3 linked regions of the Kluyveromyces lactis genome follow. The protein of the gene in region 3 purifies or fractionates together with the protein of the main gene of each other region. This does not show direct contact. Links are inferred from orthologs where the notes say so. Each region holds a gene or a part of one and is shown on either strand. Other genes may lie near its edges.

Region 1 (3,267 bases), on a different chromosome or scaffold from region 3:
GTGTCCCATTTTGTTTCTTTCAGTGTGAATTTGGTCTTAAGGATTCGATTTCGCCGATTTGAAAGCACAAGTCACGTGGTTTTTTTTTTCTTAAGTAATTGCCGAAGAGCAACCTTTCGAATCACTGATTAATATCTTGGGACGCACATTGCTTGGCCGGGTGTATTGAATAGAGCACCAAATGAACCAAGACCTGTGCTAAGACCTTGGGTTAAGAGCTTGTCATAGCCTCTTCTCATGCACTCAGTGAATAAATTGGTATTCCAGGGTTTACTTGTGGTAATAGTGGGATATTTCTGTTGGACTGTGCATAAAGATGTGCAATGGCAGTTATTGGAACAGCAATGGGTGGATATGAAGAAAATCTCTCAGTGCAAACGATCTTATGTTGAGAATAGATGTAGTGAGGGAATACGGCCGGCTTTAGCTGGGAAATGTGATGAATGGTGGCATTGTGCGCAGCTGGACTCGCACCCCAGCGTTCATCAGATGGCCAATTTATATGCCAAGACACTTGCACACACGTTAAATTCGTTTATACAGGCACTTGCCTTCAAGACAATAATAGTACTGATGCTATTTGTATTGCTTATATCAATTTCTAGTAAACTACTTCAGTAGTTTCTCTGTGTACATATATATCACGTATAAAGAAGTTACTTGCGAAGATCTTTTCTCCATTGTTTGAACGAATTTGATAGTATCTCTTCTCCTTCCACCAGCTGCTTGTATTCTTCGTCGTCAGACTCAATTTCCGTGAGTTTTAGGTGATTGTTCTCAAAGATGAGTTTATAGGCTTTAATTGTGTCAATATCGTCTTCTGGTCTTGGAATACTTGTCAATAACCACTCTGTGAAGGCACCATACCATTTTATGGCATCTACACACACAGTTTGCATCTGTGGGTTGTTGTTCTTCAATATTAGCGGTACCTCAGATGTAGTGAACTCCTCTACAGTTTTGAGCATGAAATTGTCATCTCTAAACCCATATATAATTCTGTTTATTCCTACTAGGAAACACTGTAACCAGGTTTTAAACAACTTACGTTCGAATTTATGCGCATCGGAAACGGTATTGACCATTGTGGTACATTTCAACTCTGCGTAATGCTTCAGGTTGTCATCTGAATCCTCTTTAAAATCAAAAATACAGTCCACTTCTGCACCGATCAATATCTTACATTTACCTATTCCTGTTCTAACCATTGAGATGAATTGGTCCCCATTGTTAATAATCTTTTTAGGTCTCTTTTCCAATGTAGTTCTGGGTACCAACGGTAGTGGCAGCGATAAGGTTGCAAGTGCTTCAAATTTGTAACCACTGTAATATGCCCTTGCCTGTAACGACTCCCTATTCTTGTTAATGGAGGTTTCCGAAGCGTCTGTCTTGACTTCCTTAATGAATAGTTGTCCATCAAACGAAACAATACGGAAATTTACCGGATTGAACTGTGATGAATCAAAAGCACTGGAGATGAGCTTCCGTATGATACCTCTGAACGTAATGATATCCACCTTCGTCTTCTTACTCTTACGTCTCTCATACTCTTCCAAAGTCGAAAGTAATCCATGCAATGTTGTAGAGTCGAATTCTTCCGTATTACACTCTTTGAACTTCTTGATTCCACTTAAAAGATCAAGCTTCTTGTCTAGATCCGTATCTGGCAAGTAATAGTATGCTAGCCTCGAATCATCGTTGACTAAAAATCCATTGTCCTGTGTTCTCGAATAATGACCTAATTCTTTTGGTTGCTTCAAAGCAGTAGTTGTACTTCTTTTTTGAACGAAAAGACTGGAAGATAGTACCATTATGCAAGAAGTCTATTCAAAGCTACCAGGTTTTCACGTTCTGAACTAGTCACCACTATAGAACACCTCCTCGTCAAATGTTTTCTTACATGTGTCTTGGTGATGAGATTCTTTTAAAGCTTTAAATGCATGAAAAATTTCCAATTGTAAAGGCCTTATTGTATGCTGTCTGCAAGATAAAAAGACAAAGAGAGAGTACGTTAAAATACAAAACAAATTATTTCCCTAGGAGGTATCACTGCAGGAAACTATCCTGGATAGAGATATTATAGAGCTTTTAACAATTCAATTGCTATTCATTACGTGTTTGATTACATGAAGGTTCTCTATTTATCGTTGATAATAGACTAGATACAGTGCAATGACCGGTTGATAATGATAATACAATAGTAATAATAATAATATAATATAACCAGGGACAAAAAGAAAATAATAAGATCTCGAAATAGTTCGTGATATGATTGATAATGGATCAAACATGGATTTATTCTTTATGTCAAGACATTAGTTTTTTATGCATTTGTCAGACTGTACTTCTGCCTTGCCAGCGATGAGAGTGTTCTCTCTTATTAACAAAGGCCAAAGAGGAGTTATAAAAGAACATTAAGCTGAGCGAGATAATTGATGCTCTAGATTTTGCTGTTTCTGTTGCTGTTGAACTCTACTGCGAACTGAGGAGACACTGTATAAAGCAGCACCTTCTCCGGTGACACCAACACCTGACAACATTTGTTCTTGTTCTTCTGTCTTGTAATCCAATGCATTCAAGGCTTCTTCATCCTTGTTGTAGTGGTGGAAACATAGCCAGAACAAACAACCAGCAATGAAACAAGCAACAGCCAAACCAGAGAATGTCCAGACGTACTTTGGATTTTCGGCTGTTGGGGACAAGGCGATACCGAGAGCAGAACCGACAGCGTTCGTGACCAAAAAGATGGACATGATGAAGGCTTTCATTGTGGCTGGGGCTTTAGAGTAAGCGTATTCCAAACCAGTAATGGACGCGAAAATTTCAGAAAGAGAAATTAAGACATAAGCAGGAACTTGCCAGCCGATATGGACTCTGTTTGGAGTGTTTGCGTATTCTGGTGCACAGGACATTGGGAAGTCGTAACATGGACCTGCTTTGTAAATAAAGTGTTGCAAGACAGCAGCGTAAACCATGGCACTAGAACCGAAACAGAAACCAATGAAGATCTTGGTAACTGGTCTGAAAGGAGTGAAACGTCTGATAAATGGGTAAATGAATTGTTCCATGATTGGGATGAATACAATTAAAGCAATAGAGTTGATAGCTTGTAAGAAATCATTTGGCAAACCGTGCAATTCCATAGTACCAGCTTGGGTAACGAAATTGTTAAGCATTTGACCGTAAACAACCCAGTAAATTGGGTAAAATGCGAAAACTTTACAAGCCTTGAAAGCTCTTCTAATTTCATCGATGAATAAATCATTC
Region 2 (4,196 bases), on a different chromosome or scaffold from region 3:
ATTACCTCTACTGTTGTTATAATGACGGTTGTATTTGCCGGTATTACCATTATTATTATCAGAATAACCGTTGTTACTATTATTGTAGTTTCCATTATTATACCTAGACTGTTGATATCTGCTGCCCTGTGGCTGTCTCTGTTGCGAGTGCATATACTCTCTATTTTGTTGCGGTTGTTGAGCATAAGCTGTCTGTTCTTTATGGAAGAAGAAACTTCTGTAACCTCCAACCCTGGGCTGATATTGGGTAATCCCCGATGGGCCAACAGGCACAATGTTGTATTTCATCATGGAAGGATTCCAACGGTTACTGTATTTATAAATGATACAGTCTCGGTCCTGTGGGGTAAGCATTGGTTGAGGTGGGATATATCCGTTCAATACTAACGATTTACATCTACCCGCAACCACAGGCTGCGTATACGAAAGTTTTAGGAATAAATTTGTACTCAAATCTGGCAAACCACCCCCATTAATAGGACATATCAGCTTGGAGTTTAGTTCAAACCCTTCTTCAGCTTGTGTTACGAATCCACTTAAACCAGATTTGAAATGTCTAAACTCTATCACGTTAACGGGGTTTTCTCCATATAAATTCTTCATAAACAGGTCGTAATTCACATTCTTGTTGCTGATCAAAAGTGCATCCTTCTTCCTAACATTTCTTGCCTTTTCTGAATCAGAAAGCTTAGAATATTGTTCTCGAACTGTTTTCAGTAAACGTGTTTCATCTATAAATGGCAATAGTGCAATACCCTGCCAAGCCATCTTTTTACCATTCATATCCACTGGGAATTCTTCAGGATAGAAATCTATAATCTCAGAGTTTGGATCTGACATTAATGGTCTGAATATTTCGGGTAGTGCGTGGCCTGATGCTGCTGGTAAAACACTCATTAACTGTTCGTATGGTAAGAATGGTTCACCAAGATCAAAGTGAATATCTAGATTTTTTATATTCTTGAAATCCTGAGCAAAAGGAGCATAATGGTATGGATAGTACCAAGTCCAAGACGCACATCCCTGATAATAATATAATAAAACCCATGAAATACCTTCCACATAGCACCTAATCACATCCTTTTGCAGAGCTGGAATATCTTTTGCTGGAACATGGAATTTATGTTGATAGTAACGATCATGATATCCAGGTTCGTAAAGTCTAACCGACTCATCGGTGTCAATGAACCCTGATTTTACAATACCGGTGTGGATGACCGCTGGTGGAACAGTAGAGCCTTCGTCTTCATCATAATCGGCCTCATCATCCTCAGGTTCATTGGATGTTTCCTTTTCAGCAGAGTCAACATCTTCACTTTTCCGTTTCAACGACAATTCTTCTGCATTTTCCTCATCTCTCATTGCCATCTTCTTAGCAATAAGTTTCTCCTGTAAGCTGGTAGCAGCATCGTAGTTCGCAGTCTTCGACAGTTGCACGCTATTTTTCAATTCTTCCGATGAAAACTCGACCACACCGCTATTCTTCTCACTTTTTAGTTTCAAAGCTTTAGCTGCTTCGCCATCACCTTCATTCGCCAAATTAATTTCTTTACGCATATTAGCGAAATCCTTATTAGACAAATTCAAAGAGCCTTCAGCGGCGTTGCCATCAACATCATAGACCGGCATATTCTCCAACGGAATCATAAAATTTCTGTCGACCTTGCCCTGGGAAACATTGGGGTTACTTTTCAATTTCTTTCGCCTATCATGAGCCTCTTGCTTACGAACTTCCTGAATGTATTTCTTTTTGAAAAGATCTGTTTCACGGTCTCCTAATTGTTCAAGTAAAGCTTCTACAGGTTCCAAATTGAGTGTACCATCACATGTTAGGTAGGTTTTTGTTTTGGGCAACACAGTCTTCCATATATCCACCAAAATGTCAATGCTATTCTCTCTCACATCAAGACAAGGTAAATGCGGTAGGAAATCATTACCACAGAAGAAACACATGAAAACCCAATCGTCGATTGCTCGTTCAAAATCAAACTGGAACGATAAATGTGGAATCGCTAATTCTGCTGAAAGATATTCTCTTAAAACGCTGATATGGAGCCATAAGAATGGCTTTTCTGAATCTTGTTGAATAAGCTGTTGTTTCTCTTCTTCAGATAAATTTATCATATCTTGAGGCTTTGGTTTTTTATAGTTGTTATTGGCGAACACATCCTCTCTTAATATTTTGAAATGAGGTTCGTGGGTTGCTAGTCCCAAAAAGATCAAATCTGCATCTAACCCATATATACAATGTGTTGTATTTGGATTATATTGAGTGTCTGCTCTTTGAGATCTAATGAAATTCATTATTTTATGTTCACCTTCACCTGGAACAGTAGCGTCACTTATAATAATTTGTAAATTTTTCCACCCGGGATCAGTTGCTAACTTGAAACTTGTCCAATATCTTAAAGCTGTAGCTAGTTTATCCATAAATGGGGTACCTGGAGTAATTGCGTTTGAATCCCATGTCTTTTTACTTTTGACATTTTCATCAATCGTCTCACCATAGTCCTCTCTTTCTCGTAATACTTGCTCTCTGGCTTCATTTTGGAGTTTTGCATCCCTTGCACTACGAAACCTACGTGCTCTCTGTTGATTCATCTTCGCTCTTGGTGCAACACCATCAACCGCTATCATCAAGACTTTTCTTGGTCTGGCCATATTCAAAACGCGATTTGTGTACTCAAACACAGCAAGAAGCATTTCATCCTCTGTTTCAGGTGGTGGCTTATTCTCCGGATGTGAACAAGGGTGAACAATACCATTCATATCGAGATAAAGGTTATCCAACTCACCATTGGGATTGGCCGAAGAGTAATCAAGCGGTAGTTGAACACCATCTTCGATAACTGGATATTCTTCCAACACAGGAGAAATGATTTTAGGATATTTCCTAGACAACCAACGAAAAAAGGACGGAACACCCATTGTGAGTACCTGGCCTTACTTCTCGCTATTTGTACCAACTGCCTATTAGATTACAGTATGCATTCATCTGTACTTCTAAAGTTATGTTCATCTCATCGATTAATTTTACTTATTGTTTATTGTTACCCGGATAAATAACTCAGCTCATCAACGATGTAGTGACAAACCGCTTTGAGTAACAATAATACCAGTAATTGCTAAACACAGCGCTTGGTTCACTGTACAATAAACTCATCCAGCGATTCTATTATACAATCTTTCGTTTATTACGAATATGAATTTTATTAATGTTATAATACAAGTACTGATATTTAAGAATTGCAATAGCGTAAATAGCTAAGGTTACATCAATCTTTCCTGAAGTTCAATATCATCACCTCTGTTACTGTTTCTACCAAATCTAAGCCATGACAATCCACCGGAAGCTTCCATTGATTTGATATTGAGTGAAGGCGGTGTCCACCTCTTCAACATTAGCGAACTGCAGACCACGGACACGGAACTTAGAGCCATTGCAGCACTAGACAACATTGGATGTAAAGTGATACCCCAAGGAGCTAATAAACCCATAGCAATGGGAATCATGAATGTGTTATAACAGACAGCCCAAAAGAAATTCAGCTTCACTCTATAGAATGTTTTACGCGCAATATCAAGTGCATAAACCAAACCTTTTAACGAATTATTTTTATTATCCGAATCAAGAATAACGATATCGGCAGCTTCGATTGCAATATCAGTACCAGAAGATATCGAAATTCCTAGATCTGCCTCAACCAAAGCCGGAGAATCATTAATACCATCTCCGACAAAGGCAACCCTCTCTGTACCGTTGTTTTGGAGTTGAATGACAATATCACGTTTCTGCTCAGGAGTGACTTCACTGAAGACATCATTAGCGGATATGCCAAGTTGTTGTGCCACTTTCAGAGCAGATTGATGCGCATCTCCTGTGACCATGCAGCATTTAATGCCCAAATTTTGTAAATATTCTACAACAAAATGTGCGTCTTCTTTGACCCTGTCAGATATTTCAAATTTGCCGACTAAACTACCATCGATGGAAACATAAGATTCTGTTAAAGTAGAAGAAGCGATATCACTCAAACTCTCATCGGGAAATAATTTCTTGTTACCTATGGTTATTGTATGGATTTTAGAAGTATTTTTATCTGTGATGTTACAGGAAATTCCCTTTCCAATGAGAACTTCCTCATTCGATAAATCCAAATCGAAAATGCTTGATTTATTTACGTGGGAATCAGCAT
Region 3 (3,281 bases):
CAGCCGTGAAACACTGATTCGTCTATGTTACGCTTGGAAAAGAGACCTTTTCCATGAAGAAATAAACGTAAAAGTTTGCATATACGTGGGATTCATTATTACTTCATACCTTACGAAAGAACTTCAAAACATTTAACGATGATGAAAACGGTCTACACTTCTTTCCCAGTCCGATATCGACCATGACGATATGGGAGTCTACCATGTTGTTGTCTTACGGGGCAACGACTTTTTAAGCCAGTACATGCTTTGACATGTACAATTTAGATCATCTGAGTTTTCTCTTTTTAGTTTTCTTAAGGTCAAAGTAACAGTGAAACAAGATCCATCGTCGTATCTTCTGTTGCATTTATTTCTTCAAAACGTTTCACTTCTTCTTTTTAGCTAAGAACATGATTGTGCGTTATGGATTTTAACATTTTTTTATATGATGAAAATTGGTTCCTTTACATTCGCAGTTTCCACGGTAGGAGTACGCCTACGAACCCATCGTTAGTACTCTTCAGTGACCGCTCTTTATTGAGACCTTCCTAGGATGTCTGATCTTTTTATATGTTATTATCCATTTCCATTTTCAATCCTGTTATCATCGCAGAACCTGTAGAACTGTCAATCTTTCTTGCTTTGTCTTATGTATCTAAAAGGCTTAATTATACTAATTACAAAACGCCAAATGGTCTAGGCGTCCACTCGGTGACTTCTTGCCAGTTGGAGATGGGGGCATTGCTTTGTTTGATCTTTTTGAACTGATTTTTCAATTCATTCAAGTCTTTCAATATATCCAAGGCCGGGGAATCTTCCGAAACAGGCTCTATTTCTTCAGAAGACGTCCTTTTCCTTGAATTGTAGAGCTCTAATTCAACGTTCCTGATCCCCTTTGCCTCAAATTCTTCAATAACTTTTTTCGCGTCTATCTCATTCGCTTTCTTCTTCTTTCTTGACTTACTACCGCTGTAATTACCACTAGATCCACTTTCATTACTCAAATTCTTTAAGATGTGTAACACGAGATAGTTGTGGTACTTATCTACCACATTACTAAACAATCCATTACTCAAAAACTTTCTGCCGTTAACCATGGAACAACACTTATTTACGAATTTCAAGAGCTTCTTATGATTTGAGAACCGATCCGTAATCTTCGTCTCTTCATTCATGATCCTCTTCTCGTAGTTTTCTATTAGCCACTCTATACACCTGACTTGGAATGTGTCTAAGGAATGAAAACATATCTCTAACAAGGTTTCGTCGCAGTGCAAGATCATATACTCTACGAAATCTGATTTGTGTATTTGTTTCCAGGCAGTTTTCAAAACTGTCAACCAATCACTAACTTCTTCGTCCTCGGTTGAGTCCTGCTCACCAAAAGTTGATCTAGCAATTCTTTGACGTTTCCATAGGTACTCATTCTCTTTCAATAATCTCTTGAGACCAGTATACTGAGTGAATAAGGATTTCAGTTGAACAGATGACTGTGATTTCCTTTTCTTGGCTTCTGAGTCGTCATTATCATCAGTCGCATCCTCATCTTCAGCCTCATCAAAGTCCTGATCTTCCTCTTCCCATTCATCATTATTCCAATAATTATCCCACGTCCATTGTATCGCTTCCTTGCAACACAATCGTAGCATCTCAAGACTAGGCAGTTCTCTTTCATGTGTACTCAAATGACGTAACTCAACGAACCAACTGGGCAACCCTATATTTTCAGCAAGTGTGTGTAATGGGATAGCAAACTGTGCCTGTTGCACTGGGTCTAACATACCGTTCACAAACCTAATCAAGACCATGCAGTACTGCCATTTCAAATATTCCATATCATCGCCGTCTTGCGCCTCGCCAGGGTCGTTCAACTGGCATTGCATCAAACGGACCGTATATTCTATTATATGTGGGAGATATGGACCCCTGGTAAGGTATGCGTCAATTCGTTGTATGGCCCTTCTCTTCGATGCTGGAGTATCATCTACAAACAACCATTGCTTCAACTGTTCAAGCTCAGATCTCGATCTCCAAGGCGTTATTCTCATCGGGAGTTCCTCGTAGGGTTGTGTACCAAATGAAAGAAACAGAAATCACGAAAAACTGCTAGAAACAACAATTGTAGATATATATACCAGATTAGATGTGATATTAAGTCATATCATCTCACCTCATCTCATCGCTCTGTTTCCGAGTATGCATGGATCTTGTTTTTTCATCGAAATTGAAAAATTTCGAATATGACGAAATGATATCCAAAGCCCACTTTCAATACAGAGGAAGCAAATGAAATATTATCAATGTCATCGTATATTAGATGGATATTGGTAGTATGTAAGCGTCGGGAGATTCGAATAACGTAGTACACTTAACGTACTTTAACATGCAAGAATAATTTTCAGTAAATATCATTATGTAGTACTTCTTAAATGACAATCCGTTTTAGGTGTCAAATTCTTAATTAAGTATAATCTCGAAATAAAACTGCCGGAATCACAAATGGTCTTCTTTCATGAAGAAACAATTTCGTGTATGGCCTCCGAAAGGACAAGTAAACTTCGAATTGGATATCAATTGTAGCGAAGACTGCTAAACTGCTTTTCACACGCCGATTAAATCGAATACACGCCGGTCTGGTAATACTTTTTGTTTCAGGAACGGTCTGAACGTTTGTAATACAGAATCAACCGACACGCCTTCAGACGCTAAACACTACAAGTGCAGTAAAACGAAAGTCAGGGAGTGAATTGCACACAAATCGTCTTATGGTTTACGAAATGCTATCTCCGGTACCAGTTAAGAAGAGACATAGACCTACACTTGTATGTTTGAATTGCAGGCGTCGTAAGACGAAATGTGATAGAGGAAAGCCCTCGTGCAGTAACTGTTTAAAGCTGGGAGAAACGTGTGTTTACTCCGAGGATACGGATGAGAATGCTTCTAAAAAAGTAAGATACGAATATATGGATGATCTTGGATTACCGGAGTTCATCAATATGGCTCCTAAAGGGCTACATCTGTTAAGCAAAAGATCAGCTTCGTGGTTCAATGGGTTGTTCTCAGACATCGCTATATGTGACAGAGATCCATATTTAAGAATAACAAACGCTGTCATTGATATTTTACGGAAAAGTGCCAGTAAAGGTATCGATCGTAGTGAAAGAGACACCGTCTTGCAGCTTCCTAATTCGTTAAAGACCGTAACCATGTACAACCGGTCAGAAAAGTCTGAAGATCAACTATACCATCAGATAGCTAGGGAGTTCTCAGCATTGCGGTCTGCCCCAATACCGGAGACA

Evidence for each region.
Region 1: the proteins of LAS1 (region 3) and RAI1 purify together in Saccharomyces cerevisiae (affinity purification with mass spectrometry; 3 studies listed by BioGRID). This does not show direct contact. The link is inferred for Kluyveromyces lactis from reciprocal best matches to the Saccharomyces cerevisiae genes LAS1 and RAI1.
Region 2: the proteins of LAS1 (region 3) and RAT1 purify together in Saccharomyces cerevisiae (affinity purification with mass spectrometry; 4 studies listed by BioGRID, with this or other methods). This does not show direct contact. The link is inferred for Kluyveromyces lactis from reciprocal best matches to the Saccharomyces cerevisiae genes LAS1 and RAT1.

What each region holds. Positions count from the first base shown.
Region 1 is NC_006041.1:1,139,753-1,143,019, forward strand, and holds RAI1 (decapping nuclease), read right to left. Parts: upstream 1,812-3,267; coding exon 657-1,811; downstream 1-656. Other genes in the region: BRR6 (Brr6p), read left to right, coding at 238-621; PTR2 (Ptr2p), read right to left, coding at 2,415-3,267. UniProt on the Saccharomyces cerevisiae protein: Decapping enzyme for NAD-capped RNAs: specifically hydrolyzes the nicotinamide adenine dinucleotide (NAD) cap from a subset of RNAs by removing the entire NAD moiety from the 5'-end of an NAD-capped RNA.
Region 2 is NC_006042.1:702,687-706,882, reverse strand, and holds the start of RAT1 (ssRNA exonuclease RAT1), read right to left. Parts: upstream 2,929-4,196; coding exon 1-2,928. Other genes in the region: Cu(2+)-transporting P-type ATPase CCC2, read right to left, coding at 3,271-4,196. UniProt on the Saccharomyces cerevisiae protein: Possesses 5'->3' exoribonuclease activity. Required for the processing of nuclear mRNA, rRNA and small nucleolar RNA (snoRNA) precursors.
Region 3 is NC_006037.1:554,621-557,901, forward strand, and holds LAS1 (rRNA-processing protein LAS1), read right to left. Parts: upstream 2,031-3,281; coding exon 660-2,030; downstream 1-659. Other genes in the region: OAF3 (Oaf3p), read left to right, coding at 2,748-3,281. UniProt on the Saccharomyces cerevisiae protein: Regulates cell surface growth, bud formation and morphogenesis. May act indirectly by regulating factor(s) involved in these processes.